Linked DNA regions of Rhinolophus ferrumequinum. The protein of the gene in region 1 purifies or fractionates together with the protein of each later gene. This does not show direct contact. Links are inferred from orthologs where the notes say so. Each region holds a gene or a part of one and is shown in the gene's direction. Other genes may lie near its edges.

What was found. The genes of interacting proteins can lie anywhere in the genome.
Region 2: the proteins of RNF185 (region 1) and ERLIN1 purify together in Homo sapiens (affinity purification with mass spectrometry; 3 studies listed by BioGRID and IntAct, with this or other methods). This does not show direct contact. The link is inferred for Rhinolophus ferrumequinum from reciprocal best matches to the Homo sapiens genes RNF185 and ERLIN1.

The regions. Positions count from the first base shown.
Region 1 is NC_046308.1:20,179,694-20,186,903, forward strand, and holds the start of RNF185 (E3 ubiquitin-protein ligase RNF185), read left to right. Parts: upstream 1-2,538; 5' UTR 2,539-2,698; intron 2,699-7,210. UniProt on the Homo sapiens protein: E3 ubiquitin-protein ligase that regulates selective mitochondrial autophagy by mediating 'Lys-63'-linked polyubiquitination of BNIP1.
Region 2 is NC_046299.1:24,345,254-24,352,463, forward strand, and holds the start of ERLIN1 (erlin-1), read left to right. Parts: upstream 1-2,271; 5' UTR 2,272-3,090; intron 3,091-3,362; 5' UTR 3,363-3,373; coding exon 3,374-3,486; intron 3,487-5,246; coding exon 5,247-5,328; intron 5,329-7,210. UniProt on the Homo sapiens protein: Component of the ERLIN1/ERLIN2 complex which mediates the endoplasmic reticulum-associated degradation (ERAD) of inositol 1,4,5-trisphosphate receptors (IP3Rs).

The DNA.
Region 1 (7,210 bases):
CGGCCTGGGTTTCATAACTTTCTTGATTTCTGTTTCTTTCTTAACCCTTCGCCACCCCTTCTCGTTCGCTCACTGCCTGTGTTGCGCTGGGCGCAACAGATGCCCACCAATGAAAGACCTACAGGAACGCACTTGTGGTTGAACAAGTTGGGTTTATTACTTGTTACAGCGAGGGGTGGGAGATGTGAACCACAAGGAATGATGAGGCGTCTCAGAAACAGAGTGTTAGAAAGGACATTTAGAATTTAATTTGGGGGAGGGTCAAGGAAGCAGCAGGGTTTTGATCTGGATTGGATACTGTCTATGATTTGGGTATCTTGATAAATCCTATCGAGAAGGCAGGAAAACTAGACTGAGACTAAAGCTGTAATTGGTAAAGAAGCAGCAATCTCTATATGAGCCAGGATAGGGAAATGTTTGGTCATTTTTGTGGTTTGGATAATGCTCATGTTTTATCTGGTTCAGGTATGATTATGGAGAGGTCTTGTTATTGTCTTGATCCATCACAGTCACAGAGTGGCCTTGTCTGATGTTGATGTTCTGTGACATTTTTATGTTCAACTGAACACCAAAGCCTACCTGTGAATGCCAGGCCAGCTCCGGGATATCAGGGGCTCCTTTTCTTTTTATGAGAAGATGGACTCAAATCCAGGTTTGTGTGACTGGAAACGTATCTTGTGTTACTACTCCCTGTCCCCAGGAACAGGGAAGAGGGCTGGCAGATGAGGAATTTCATCTATAAGTTTATTTCATCTACTGCCTTCACCCCCTACTTAGACCCAAGCCCAAATACAATCCCTGGGATCACTGTAGACACTTAATGTTTGTTGAATTAATGAAACAATGAAGATGGGTGTCAAGAACTCTAGAAAACAACTTCCTGGGTGCAAATTGCAGCTCCATCACCTTTTAATTAAATGATATGTGATTTGAAAACTTTTAATAAAATGATAAAATTGTGTAACCTTTTAAAAGTTTTCTTTTACCCATTTGTGAAATGGAGACAACCACCAAAACCATTCATAGGGCTGCTGCGAGGATTAAATGAAAATGAACCATTGTGTAGAGTGTGCTTAGTTAAGCTCAGTAAATGTTAACTATTATTATTTTCAAGATAAGTAATCCATTAGTGCTGTGATTGCATGTTTAATATTTTTCCCACTAGGCATGAAAGCAAAGAGCTTGTCTCTTATCACATAACCAGTACCTAGCACATAAATGAATATTTGATAAATAAATAAGTAAACAGGCTAGGACCCAGGCACTTTCCCTATTTAGAGGGTAAATATTAATTTTTATATCTTTTCAAATTTAAAGAAAAGTTGCAAAAATTATGTAAGGAACTCCCATATACCCTTTACCTAGACTCACCACTTGTTTACATTTTTCCTAATTTGCTTAATCATTCGTGTAATAAATAAATATATATATATTCCTAATTTGCTTAATCATTTCTATAATATATATATATATTTCTGAATCATTTGAAATTAAGTTGGAGACATTGTGCCCTTTTACCCCTAAGTACTCCAGTGAATATTTCCTAAGAACAAGAGGAATATTTCCTCTTAACCACAATACAATGATCAATTTTAGAAAATTTAACATTGATACAATATGCTAATCCACAATCCATATTCAAATTTCATCACTTGTCCCAATATTGTCCATTATACCTATTCTACCTTCCCTCCCCCCCAGTCCAAGATCCAACCATATTTTGTTATGTCTCTTTAATTGCATTTAAACAGGAAGAGTTCCTCAGTCTTCAAATGTCTTTCGTGATATTGACACTTATTTTGTAGTGTCCCTCGATTTCAGTTTATTTCATGCTTCCTCATGAGATTTGGATTATGCATTTTGAATATAAATGTCACAGAAGAGATGCCTCCTTCTCAATGCATCTTATTGAGGGGCACGTGATCTCTACTTGACCTGTAGCTGGTGACATTAACTTTGATTACTTTGAGTCACTTGTTCTGTGAGGTTATACCTTTGTAAAAATACTATTTTCCCTTTGTAATCAATAAGTGATTTATGGGAGACAATTTTACTGTGTAAACATCCTGTTCCTCTAGTTTTACCACTCATTATTGATTTTCTAACTCCATCATGTTTGTTAGTTGGCTTCTACTAAAAGGAAGACTTTTCTCTTCTCCCTCATTTATTTATCTACATTATTTATATTAGTAAAGACTCATGGGTTAGCATTTTATTCAGTTAGTTATACTCTGTTACTATCATTATGTATTTCGATGCTCAAAAATGCTCCAATTTGGCCAGTGGGATATCCTTTAAGTAAGCTCCTCTGTCCTTTCACATATTCCCATTATTCGGATGCCCATCATCCTTACATTCTGGTGCAACAAGATGTTCCAAGCTTGTCTGGCACTTTCCCTGTCCTGACCAAGGATCTTTAAAACGCTGCCAAACAGCTCCTAAGTTCCTCCCTTTCCTATCCGCAAGCGGAACCTTAGAGTCTCGTGCGTGGGCCGGAGAACAGCTCAGCGGACCAACCTTTTCCGGTTGCGGCCGGAAGTCTCGGAGAGGGGCGATTCTGTGTCAGGTGACTGGAGTTCGCGTAGGAGTGATCCGAGGTCCAGGCCGATCCACTGACTGGGCGGACAGACCGGCGGAGCAGCCGACTGACGGAGAAGCTGGGGCAGCCTCGGCGGCGGCGTTAGCTGAGCAGCGGCAGGTACCTGAGGGGCTGGTGGGGGGAGCAGCTAGGGGCATCCGAGGTTGAGGGACACGGGCGGGGGACCGGGTCCCGCCTTCACCGGGCCACGGGCTGCGACACCTGAGTCCAGGGGCGCAGAGACAACAAGCCTGGCTCCGCCTCAGGCCCTCCTCCCCAGAAGAGAGGTCGGGCTGGCATGTGGTCTTTCGTCCAGTGATTACAGTTGGGGGAAACTGAGGCCCCGAGAAAGGAAAAGGCTCCTTACGAGCTCTCCTTTCCAGGCAGGGACTCACTATAACTCTCTTTCTGTCCCCCGCTCGAGGCCATTTCTCTCCTGTGGATGTGTTTTTAATAAGTTTGCCCCGAGTGGAGAAGCCGAGGCCGGTAAGCGTGGTGAACAGAGTTGGGCTTTGGGCATAAGAGACCCGGGTTAGAGACTTCGCCGCCAACAGCCGATTGTGCGTTCTGGGCCAAATCCCTTTCTTCTGCTGGGCCTTAGTTTCCTCGTCTGTAAAACAGGGCAGTGCTTCTCAAAATACCGTTCTCACACCATCTGCTTTGGAATGCTATAGGGGTGCATGCTTTCCCATGGGGGACTCAAATAAGACCTGTGATTTAGAATCTGGGTGGGAACTTGGGAAACTGCGTTTGGAACGTATGGCTCGGGTGTCCTGTACATGCTGATGTTTGAAGCCCACTGATCTTAAGTGTTTTCCTGCTGTAACTACGAGATATCCATTCTTTGCTTTGAGGCAGCTGGAGCCGGTTCAGGATCTTTGAAAGAACTGGGTGTTTATCCCAGGAAAGAGAGCAATGGAAGGGAACTGTCTTTAAAAACTGAAAAAGTTGTTATGGTGAAGAGGGCTTCCACTTCATCTTTGGGGTTGAAAAGGGCAGAACTAGGACCAATAGATGGTTTCTACAGGAAGACAAGATTTTGATTTAATAGAACTTAATGCTGGTCAGAGGTGCCCAGCAATGGATGGGTTGCCTCCAAAGGTAGTGAGCTTCCTGCTATAGGAGGTATACAGGTATTAGATGGTGGTCCTTTCCCATTTGACAGCTTCTAATTCTGAGTAATTATTTTGAATCTTTCTGGAGCTGACTTCTTTTTTCTGCCCTTTTTTCTTGACACCTCCATTCCCTCAGCCTACATCTTGTAGAAGTAAGGCGGTGGGTCTGAATGTAATGTATCTTGTAATCTCTTCCTGATTGTCCTGTGAACCATCCTTTTCAAGGACTTTGGAATGGTCCATCTGATAAAGACGCCTTAAGATCATTGCTGAATGAATAACCAAGCAGAGTCCCCACACCATCTGTTTATAGCTTATTTTCTTAGAACAACTTGGAAATGCCTCTGAAGGAAGACTTTGTATTTGATCAGGAGAAGCCAGTGAACTCTTTGGATCACAGAATTGGATCACAGTCAGAAGGGTCCCTTGAGGTTGTTTAGGCCAGCTTTTCTTCCCTGGGACATAAGTCTCCCTTTAATCCTCTCTCCAGAAGTGTGTTGTATAGATATTGTGTCTACCAAGGGGATTTTTGCAATCTATGGTCTAACGTTCCATCCAGCGTTTAAAACCGGTCCTTTTATGGACTTGACATGTCAGTTCATCCTCATTTATGGGTTATCTGCAGGTAATGCTTCTATATATCTTATATCTTTAGTTTTCTAATCAAACATCAAAACTCCTATTTTGTGATTTATAAAACTCCAAGCAGATTGCTACTTCAAAACCTGTTAGGATGCTTACGTTGTCCTATGGAGCAAAGATTCCATATTATGACCCAATTCTGCTGACATGCTTCCTACCCCCCAAAAGGTTGGGTTTCAGCCAAGACTTTCTGTCAATGTTTATATTCCTGCCTTGTTTGTGTTTCCTACGATTTTAAAAAAATAAATTGCGAAATTCTTATTCAGGTATCATCCAGGTGCTAGGTAAAATGATTTTAATTTGATGGTGTTTTTAAAACTTCTCAATCTGAACATTTCTTTTTAAGAAAATACCTAAACAGGTATATACATAGTGCATTTTTCAGGCCGCTAATCTGAAGAGACCCCTCCAAAAAAAAGTGTTCTATGGTAATAATAAGTTTGTAAAAACTATAGATCATTATCCCTTTTTGGAACTTCTCAGTGTATAGTACCACATTAAGGTCCCTGAGATATCTGCAATAAAGAAATGTGCCTAACCTTGTTTAATCTAGTGTTGCCAAACTGAATTGATGTGAAGCACTTTTTTTTTTTTTTTAACTGAAGCACACATTGGCAAATTCTGACCTAGAGCAGGAGTCCACAAAATTTGGCCTGTGGTCCAAATCTGGCCTCACTTCCTGTTTTTGCATGGCCTGTGAGCTGGGACTGTTTTTTACAGTTTTTAATGGTGGGGAATACATCAAGAGAAGAATAATATTTTGTGATATATGGAAATTATAGGAAAATCCAATTCCTGTAATTCCATAAATAAGGTTTTATTGGAATACAAATTCCAGTGTCCGAAAGTAAGATCCTTTCTCGTTAATTTACATGTTGTCTTTGGCAGCAGAGTTGAGCCATTGCCCCAAAGATCATGTATAGTCCACATGTCTAAAGTTTTTACTATATGGTGCTTTACAGAAAAATTTGCCAGCCGCTGACCTGCATCACATATGTTTTTAAACTTGTTATTTTGAAATAATTTTAGACTTGCAAAACGAATATACAGACTTCCTATATACTCTTCACCCAACTTACCCTAATGTTAACATTTTACACAACCATATTAAAATTACCTAAACAAGAAATTTAACATTAATACTATACTAACTAGACTATATTCACATTTTGCCACTTGTCCCACTAATGTCCCTTTTCTGTTCCAGGATCCAGTCCAGTTTCCCATATTGCATTTTGTTGTCAAGTCTCCTTAGTCGCTTTCCAGCTGAGATTGTTCCTTGGTCTTTTTTATTTTTCATGACTGTAAACTTTTTTTTTTTTTAAAGATTTTATTGGGAAGGGGAATAGGACTTCATTGGGGAACAGTGTGTATTTCCAGGACAGTGTGTATTTCCAGGACTTTTCTCCAGTCAAGTTGTCCTTTCAATCTTAGTTGTGGAGGGCGCAGCTCAGCTTCGAGTTGTTGTCCTTTCAGTCTTAGTTGTGGAGGGCGCAGCTCAGCTCCAGGTCCATTTGCCGTTGCTAGTTGCAGGGGGCGCAGCCCACCATCCCTTGCGGGAGTCAAACCGGCAACCTTGTGGTTGAGAGCCAGTGCTCCAACCAACTGAGCCATCCGGGAGGCAGCTCAGCTCAAGGTGCCGTGTTCAATCTTAGTTGCAGGGGGTGCTGCCCACCATCCCTTGTAGGACTCGAGGAGTTGAACTGGCAGCCTTGTGGTTGAGAGCCCACTGGGGCATGTGGGAATCGAACCGGCAGCCTACGGAGTTAGGAGCATGGAGCTCTAACTGCCTGAGCCACCCGGCCGACCCCCATTACTGTAAACTTTTGAAGAGGACTGGGCAATTATTTTGTAGAATGTCTCAAATTTTTTTTAGATGGAATTTACATATCATGAAATTCACTATTTTAAAGCGTACAATTCAGTGGTTTTTAGTATGTTCACAAGGTTGTGCAACCATCACCACTATCTTAATTCCAGAACACTTTCATCACCTCAAAAAGAAACCCTGTGCACATCAGCAGCCACTTCCTATGCTCCCCTCTTCCCATCCACTAATCCAGAATCATACACTGTATGGCTTTTTGTGTCTGGCTTCTTTCATTAAACATGTTTTCAAGGTTCATCCATGTTTTAGCATACTCGTATAGCAGTACTTCATTCCTTTTTAGGGCTAAATAATATTCCATTAGTATGGATAGACCATTCGTTTATCCATTCATCATTTGATGGCTGTTTGGAGATTCTGAATAGTGCTGCTCTGATCCCATACAAAGTTTTTGTTTGAACATATTTTCAGTTCTCTTGGATGTATATACCTAGGAGTAGAATTGCTGGGTCATATGGCAACTCTATGTTTACCTTTTTGAGGACCTTCCAAACTGTTTTCGACAGCAGCTACACCAATTTACAGCAATATATAAGGGTTCCATTTTTTCCGCGTCCTATTCAACAGTTATTGTCCTTTTAAAAAATTATTATTACATCCACCCTAGTGGATGTGAAGCAGTATCTCGTAGTTTTTATTTGCATTTTCCTAATGACTGATGATGTTGAACATCTTTTCATAAACATATTGGCCATCTATATACCTTCTTTGGAGAAATGTCTATTCAAAACCTTTGCCCATTTTGTAATTGAATTATTTGTCATCATGTACAATTTTTCCATGTAGCTGTTTAAAGAGTTTGCAGATCCCCTGATCTGAATGGAGTTGGGTAGAACATGCTGAAGCAGAGTAAGTTGTCCCTTTGAAACTGCTGACCGTACAGAGCTTTGCTTAACCCCAACCACTGCTGACCGTGCAGAGCTGGGGTGGCCATGGTCAAGTGAAAAAGGTACTACAGCATCATTCAAGATGTGGTAAGACCAATAT
Region 2 (7,210 bases), on another chromosome or scaffold:
TCAAAAGTGTCTGGACACTGATGGTAACTACTTTGAGCACCTCTTGTAATTGCAGAAGTCAAAGGTGACTTGTATTCATTTTTTGTTAACGGTGTATGTTGAGTATTACAATTTTAATAGTTTTTTCCTTTCCTAAAATGTACATACACTTTTTTTGGCACCCTCTGTATATACAGAGAAGAAACCTCAATATATGTTCTAAGTAAAAGTTGTCTACCTGTGTTTCTGTGGAAGAGACTGCTCACAAGTCAAATTGCACTTCTTGAAGAATACCCCTACCTCCTTGTGTTGCACTCAGCAGTGCTCTTCCTGGCATCATAAGGAGTTGGGTCAATCCCATTTTCCATTTTACTGCACATTTGACAGTATTCCTTTCCTATAGGAGGGATTGTGTATCTGTGCCTTCAATACCAATTGACTGATAAATCTTAAGTGTTCTATGTGTATATGTATTTAAGATGTACATTTAGTAATATCAAAGAGATGCCTGTTAATTTATAATGTATTTGAAAGCTTATTTTTTTTCATTTGTAAAAATGGGTCATTTGTTTCAGGAATCTTTCATGTCTTGTACAAATTTATAAAGGTCTGCATGCCCTTATCTGTGATTCCAGAAAGCTTTGAAAACAAGGTTTTTCAGAAGCGTGATGACAAAACTCGCAAATTAACATGAAGTAACACTGAACATACTTATCCCATTTAGTGTGAATATTCATTTATTTTGCTGTGGAAATATTAACATGTTTGATTATTCGGCGGGGGGAAGGGTGCTGCCACAGACCCTGCTGGAGGTTTATGTAATATGGCATATGCACTGAATTATGTTTCTAAAATCTGAAAATTTCTAATTCTGAAACATTTGGCCCTAACAATTTCAGATTAAGGATTGTGGATCTATCATCTGTTAAGTAATTTAGAAGATACTGTTTTTTTAAAAAAATGTGAAATGCTTTTGTATTATAGTTTTTCACTTTGTGTATTAAATGATTTTTAAATTACTTTTTGACTCTATTCATTAAAATCAGATGAATACAGGTGACCCTTGAACAATGAGTGGGGTTAGGGGCATCAAGTCTCACGCAGCAGAAAATCCACATGGAACTTGTGACTTTACAGTTGGCGCCTCGCATCTGTGGATTCATCCAACCGAGGTTGGGAATGCGAAAATACCATTTTTGATCCATGGAATTTGCAGACACGAAACCCACAAATAAGAAGGGTTAACTGTATTTATTGAAAACAAAAGTGCATGTAAGTGGATCCACACAGTTCAAACGTGTGTTGTTCAAGGGTCAACTGTAGTTGAATATGATTTGGGAAAATTTCAAGTTTCCATGAATTGGAACTGGAGCAGAGGATAACGTAATAGGCTCTTACTGTATTTTCCTGTATGGAATTATACAGGATGTATAGTAAAGACCATATTGGGTAGCTGCTTTAATATAGTGCTTTCACCTGAGATGTCCTGTCACCACTATTCATGTCTAAAAACCATGCTCATATCTTGCCCTATAAATTTAGACACACCATCCCTATTTTTTCTAGTAGTGTCATTTTCCCAGTCATCTAAGTTTGAAACCTTGGGTTGTCTTCTAACTTTTTAGTCATCTGATACTGTTACTGGCACAGGGAGGGGTTCCTTGCCCCTCTCAGACTAGAAATCAAGAGAGTGCGTGAAACAGTTCTGCAAAGAGAAAACAGAGACTGGAACAAGTTATTTTTCATTCTTTTTGCTTTTCGTTAGTTAAAAAAGCTAAGCTCTGCAGATACCACCTATCTGGAACCAACAAGGTCCTGGACATTCCTAGGTAGTAAGAGTCAAATGAATGATACAGGTAAATGCACTTATTGAGGGGAGAGGGTAAAGTGGTCTGGGAGGGCTTGCTTTCATGAAGAATTGATTCTATTTACCCCTTCCTGTTTCCAGTTACTGCCATTGTAACTTTGGGCCCGCAATTGTCTAACCACTTTGCTTCCCTGCCTCCAGTCTGTGTCTCTCCTCTAAGCCATTTTGCAGACTCACTGGCCCTAAAGCACTGCTTTCCCATACTTCCCTGCCCAAGACGTTACAGAGTCCTTAAATCTTAGCCTACTTGTCCAGTTGTGCTCCCACTGCTAGCCTTCCAAGGCTTACAGGAACCATTCTTGCCCAACCTACTCTAATATGCTGCACTTATTTCCCTTGTATTTATCCATCTCACTCCCATCTCTACTCTTTAACTTTGTCCTTTTTGTTTTGGGTAACATGCACATAATGGATATTGTAAAAGAAAAGAAGAATATGCAGTGAAAAATTCTGTAGCCATCCAGTACCCGCTCCCTGAAGAAAAAAGTGCATTTGAGTCTTTCAAAATCTGAGCCTAGCCTAGCCTACCATCCTACTTTCCATCATACTGGCTTCAAGGAAGCTCAAATGCTCACTGTTGTAGTGTTTTCCTGGAGGACGCTGTTCCTATTGCTTGGATGGCCTTCATAAAGCCCTCTTTGGATCATCACTCTGGCATAATAAGTGCTCAGAAAAATACTTGATGAGTGAATATGCGGTTAGATTGAGTATCTTCCTCTTCTGAACTTCCACCTTACTTGGCAGTAAGTCTGGTTGCTCCTGAATTCAGTGCAGGATCTGTCCCTGAAGCACATGCTTGCCACATAGAGTTCGGTATAAACCACAAAAGGTCATAAAACGGAACAGCTACCACACTGAGTGTAGGGGCGGGTCTCTGCAAAAGAACAAGAGGCCCTCTGCTTTCTCTGCATCCCTTATTCCAGATTCCCGACTTCTCTTCTGGAGCAGGAAACCAGCAGTGCACAAAACAGAGCCTCCGTACCTTCAAGGGAAATTGCGCGGAGGGCAGCCGGGAGAATTTTGTCCCGTCCGCTCCCCGTCTCTGGTGGCAGGGCGAGCACTGCGTCGGCGTGCGTGCCTGCGCAGCCGCAGGGCTGGGCGAGTGGGCGGGGCCGGCTGTTGGCGGCGGTTGGCGTGGCCGGGGAGGCGGCTGCACGTGCGGGCGGGGGCGATGCGTCACTGATCGGTGAGGCGCCGCGGAGGGGTCGGATTGCCTTCGAACTCTGCCCCTGGCCCCCTTCTCAGTTAGTGCATTCTGCGGGGGGGCGGGGGAGCGGCCACTGGGAGCTGGGGGTGTCACGACGATTACTGAGCAGGGGCGGCCTGCGGGCCGCCTCCGGCGGAGAGGTTGGCGAGGAGAGAACGGGTTCTGCGAGGAGGAAAGAATGAGGGAAAAGAGGCACAGGACTCCCGGCTCGGCCTGCGGGAGGGAGCCAGTTGTCCGGATGTAGAGGGTGGAAACGAGGGGGTAGGCTTGTCGCTCACGGGCCTTGGGGTCCTTTCCTCCTTCATTCAGGAGGAACAAGCATGAATATGACTCAAGCCCGGGTTCTGGTGGCTGCAGTGGTGGGTCTGGTGGTTGTCCTCCTCTACGCCTCCATCCACAAGATCGAGGAAGGACACCTGGCTGTGTACTACAGGTGAGCAGCGTGTGCAGCCCGCTCAGCTTCTCCGGCAGGTAGAAAGGGGACTCCCGGGAGAGGAGCATCTAAGAAGTTGTTTCCTCTGTAGCGTCCGGAGAGCCTTCTCCAGTCCTAGAAAGTGATTTTCGTCCCAGCCCTAGGGAGAGTATGGGGGGGAAAGGAAGGCTTTTGCAGAGCCCCCTCCGGGTGGTGGACAGCTTTAGTACTATGTCCATTTGGTGCCAAGGTTAAGAGTCCCTCCAGTTATTCCTGGTAGACAGTAAGTGCAATCATTTGTAGAAAAAAGACAGGCAGGCAGGCAGAGGTCACTCCACCTGTAACTGATGAAATGGATAAATTGTCGTATTCCGTACAACTGTGCAGGCTTTCAGTTTGCAGCTTTAGATTCAATTTAGAACTTGGCTTGGGTCGCGTTTGTGATGGTTCTTTAGATTTTTTTTTTTCTTTTAAAAGCCCGTAGTGTCTGGTTTTGGCTTATAAGGCCAAATAATGATGACCATGACAATTGTTTTTACTCGTATGTCTTCCCTGGACCTGGAGAGAGAAACACAGCATTGATGGACCACCCGCCTGCCACCTTACCCTTTCTTTTCAGGTTGAGGAAAGAAATGGTGTGGAGTGTGTTGCTCTCTAGTTGAGCTCGAATAGCTTTTCCTTCAACATAGTACCACCAATTCTTTTTGATATAGACAGAGGACAGTCTGCAGAAATTGTGCTAATGCTGTATTTGAAAGGGCTTCCACTTCTGGTTTCCATCATCCTCCCAAAGTGGTATTTTCTACTTTTCGATCCATTCTGAGTCCTAGAAACAGTCTTCTCTGTGAAACGCTAGTTTCAAATACAAGTGTAGTGATATGTCTTAGCAGATGGAGGTCTAGCATAAAAAATGACAGATTAGTCCATATTTCCGTCTTGTCTTGGCAGTAAAACCAAGGAAAATGCATGGCTCTCAAAGAATTTAGGGATGGACCTAAAACAGGTCATCCTTTTCAAGTTATTAGTTAACGGATTTTTTGCAAACCTGTGTCTGTTTTCAAGATACAAACTTAAGTTCTATGAAGTTATTCTTCACAATGTAAAATAGGACTTTTTTTATATCTGCCTCCAAAATGCCTCCCTTTTATAATTTCCAAGATGTGCTTTCATAGTTATCACATTCCAGCATTTGGTAAATAAGTCCACGCTTACATCCTATCTATTTATAGTTGTATTCCCTTACCCTTTATCTTTCTATGCTAATTTTTTGTTGTTTATTATATAGACTTTATATCCCCAGTATTTTAATTGCCTTGTAGGTAGATTAAAAGATTCTTGAGCCTTCGAAGTTCTCTCCTCCCTTGAAAGTTTGTGTCATTTTTTTTTCAACATAGTGATTAAATGTATTATGTTTTGAACTCGTGTTATGTGCAATTAAAGTATAGCAACTAAGAGCCTTAGAATTTTTTTTCACAAGTACTTCTCAGATGGTTAAAGACCAAGGAGAATCCTTCCTACCTGAGTGCAGTGCTGGAGACCCAGAGGTATGGTTGGTCGAGCTTATGAAACAAGCTGTAACATCGGCAGCTTAATGTGATCCTTTCACCTTGTTAGCTGTGGCAGATATTTTAGGGACCAGCAGTTGTTCATTGTGAGTAATTCATATTAGTGAAGCTTTAATAGGTCAGCAGCATGAGTAAGAGTGAATATTTATTACAGCATTTTAGATTTGGAAAGAGCATTTCTCTATAATCTTGTCAAATTGAAACATCTTTTTGCAGGGGAGGAGCTTTACTAACTAACCCCAGTGGACCAGGCTATCATATCATGTTGCCTTTCATTACTACGTTCAGATCTGTGCAGGTGAGTGATTCTTAGGAAAGCCTCCACACTGGATAGACAGGTGTGACAGGAACAGTTACAACATTTGTGGGTGGAGATACATTTCCTTATTGCTTAAGCAGATGGTGGTATTTACTTAAATGCAGAAATTAAAGTTCAAAGTACAGTTGTCACAGCACAGGTTATGATTTTGAGCCACCTCACTCTTTTTGAAGTATATAAGCAGTAATACCTATGCAGCTTGGAAAAACTGACTAGAACTGATTTCTCCCGTCTATATAGTGGTGTTTTCTGTTGATGCAGTGAAAATAAAATCAGGACTTTAGAACACACTTAGAAATACAAATCAGTGATCACTTGGTGTAGAACAGTGTTTGGTTTCCATAGAGGCAAGCTCTTGGGCTACTGTTAACATGGTGGATCTGAATTTTAATACACAGCTTTTCTGCCTCACATTTTTGTCTGGGACATTCAGCACAATATTATGTGGAACCTTAGTGAATGTTCTATTTTGATAGCATTCCAGAATATTGGAAATAGCGTCTGATCATTGAGAACAGTGTCTTGGCCATGGGAGATACTTATTAAATATATCTTGACATAAGATGACAAAACAGGATTTTATTGTGACTACTCTTGCACACTCAGTGTGATTATAAATCTTTGAATTCAGAAATTTGTCTACTATCTGCTGATTTTTCGAGACTCAGGCAAATTTTAATGTATTTATCTTGTAATTTAAGTCGAGGCTTCCCACTAAGTTAGAGTTTCATTATGAATACTTAAATTCTCCAGGTTTCCTTCCAATTCCCTTTTAGATGGCTTAGGGCAAGAATTGTGTCTGTTGAAATGAAATGTGTTCTTCCTTTAGTCAGACCGATTTCCGTATTGTTTTCTTATATTTATTTTATTCACTCTTGCCTTGGTTCATACTGTCACCTCTTCTCTCCCCATTTCTCCCTTCCTTCCTTCTCTCTTGTCTGTGAATTGCCAGCCTTCTAAAGGCTCATCGCAAATCCCTCTCCTTCTAATCTATAGCTCTTAAAGTCTGTATTGTAAATTTTGTCCCGTGGTCTTATTTCTCTTAATAATGTTGTCTTGTATTGTTCTCTAAGTTTTGTGTGTCTTTTTCAGAGAGTCTCCAAGCTTCTTGAAGTAGGGGTTGTTAACCCACTTATATTCCTGACCATTCTATTTGTGAAAGTTGTTAAACTGAGCTGATTTCTTAGGAAGCAGTATGGTGTAGTGAACGTGGGGCCGGAAACCTGGAGACTTAGGTTTGGCTCTGGCACCAATTAGTTACATGACTTAGCAAAAATTACTTAACTGCTGTAGACTTCATTTATTCCTCCATGAAAGAAAGCGTTTTAATTATGTGACCTCACCAAAAGCTCAAACAGTCTACAATGATGTTATTAATGGCATCATCAGAGCCTTAGAAATTAGAGGCTTTTTAGATCTGTTCAGAGCCAAGCTCCTTCCTGGAGCTTAGTATGTCGATTCATACTAACGGAACGATTTATATATGAGAGAGATACAAACGATGAACATTAAATAGGTTTTAGAATTTAATTGCACATGTAACAAATACAACATATAGTGTGTGTGTGTATATATACATATATTGTAGTAAACTATCATACAAGAAATGGAAATGAAATTAGAAAAAAGATTTCAGTGTAAACTAATTTTGCATTTACAAAAAAAATTAAATGCTGGAGCCGGTGTGACTAAATACAAATGTTCTTTTTTTAAATGTGTGGAACAATAACATTCTAGGAAAGAATTATATTTATAAAACCCTTTTAAAAAATTGTTCTTATACAAATGAGACATAAAGAAATTTATTTTTAGGAATTTTTGGAACACATTAAGAGACCTAGCCTTCTACATTGGTGTAGAA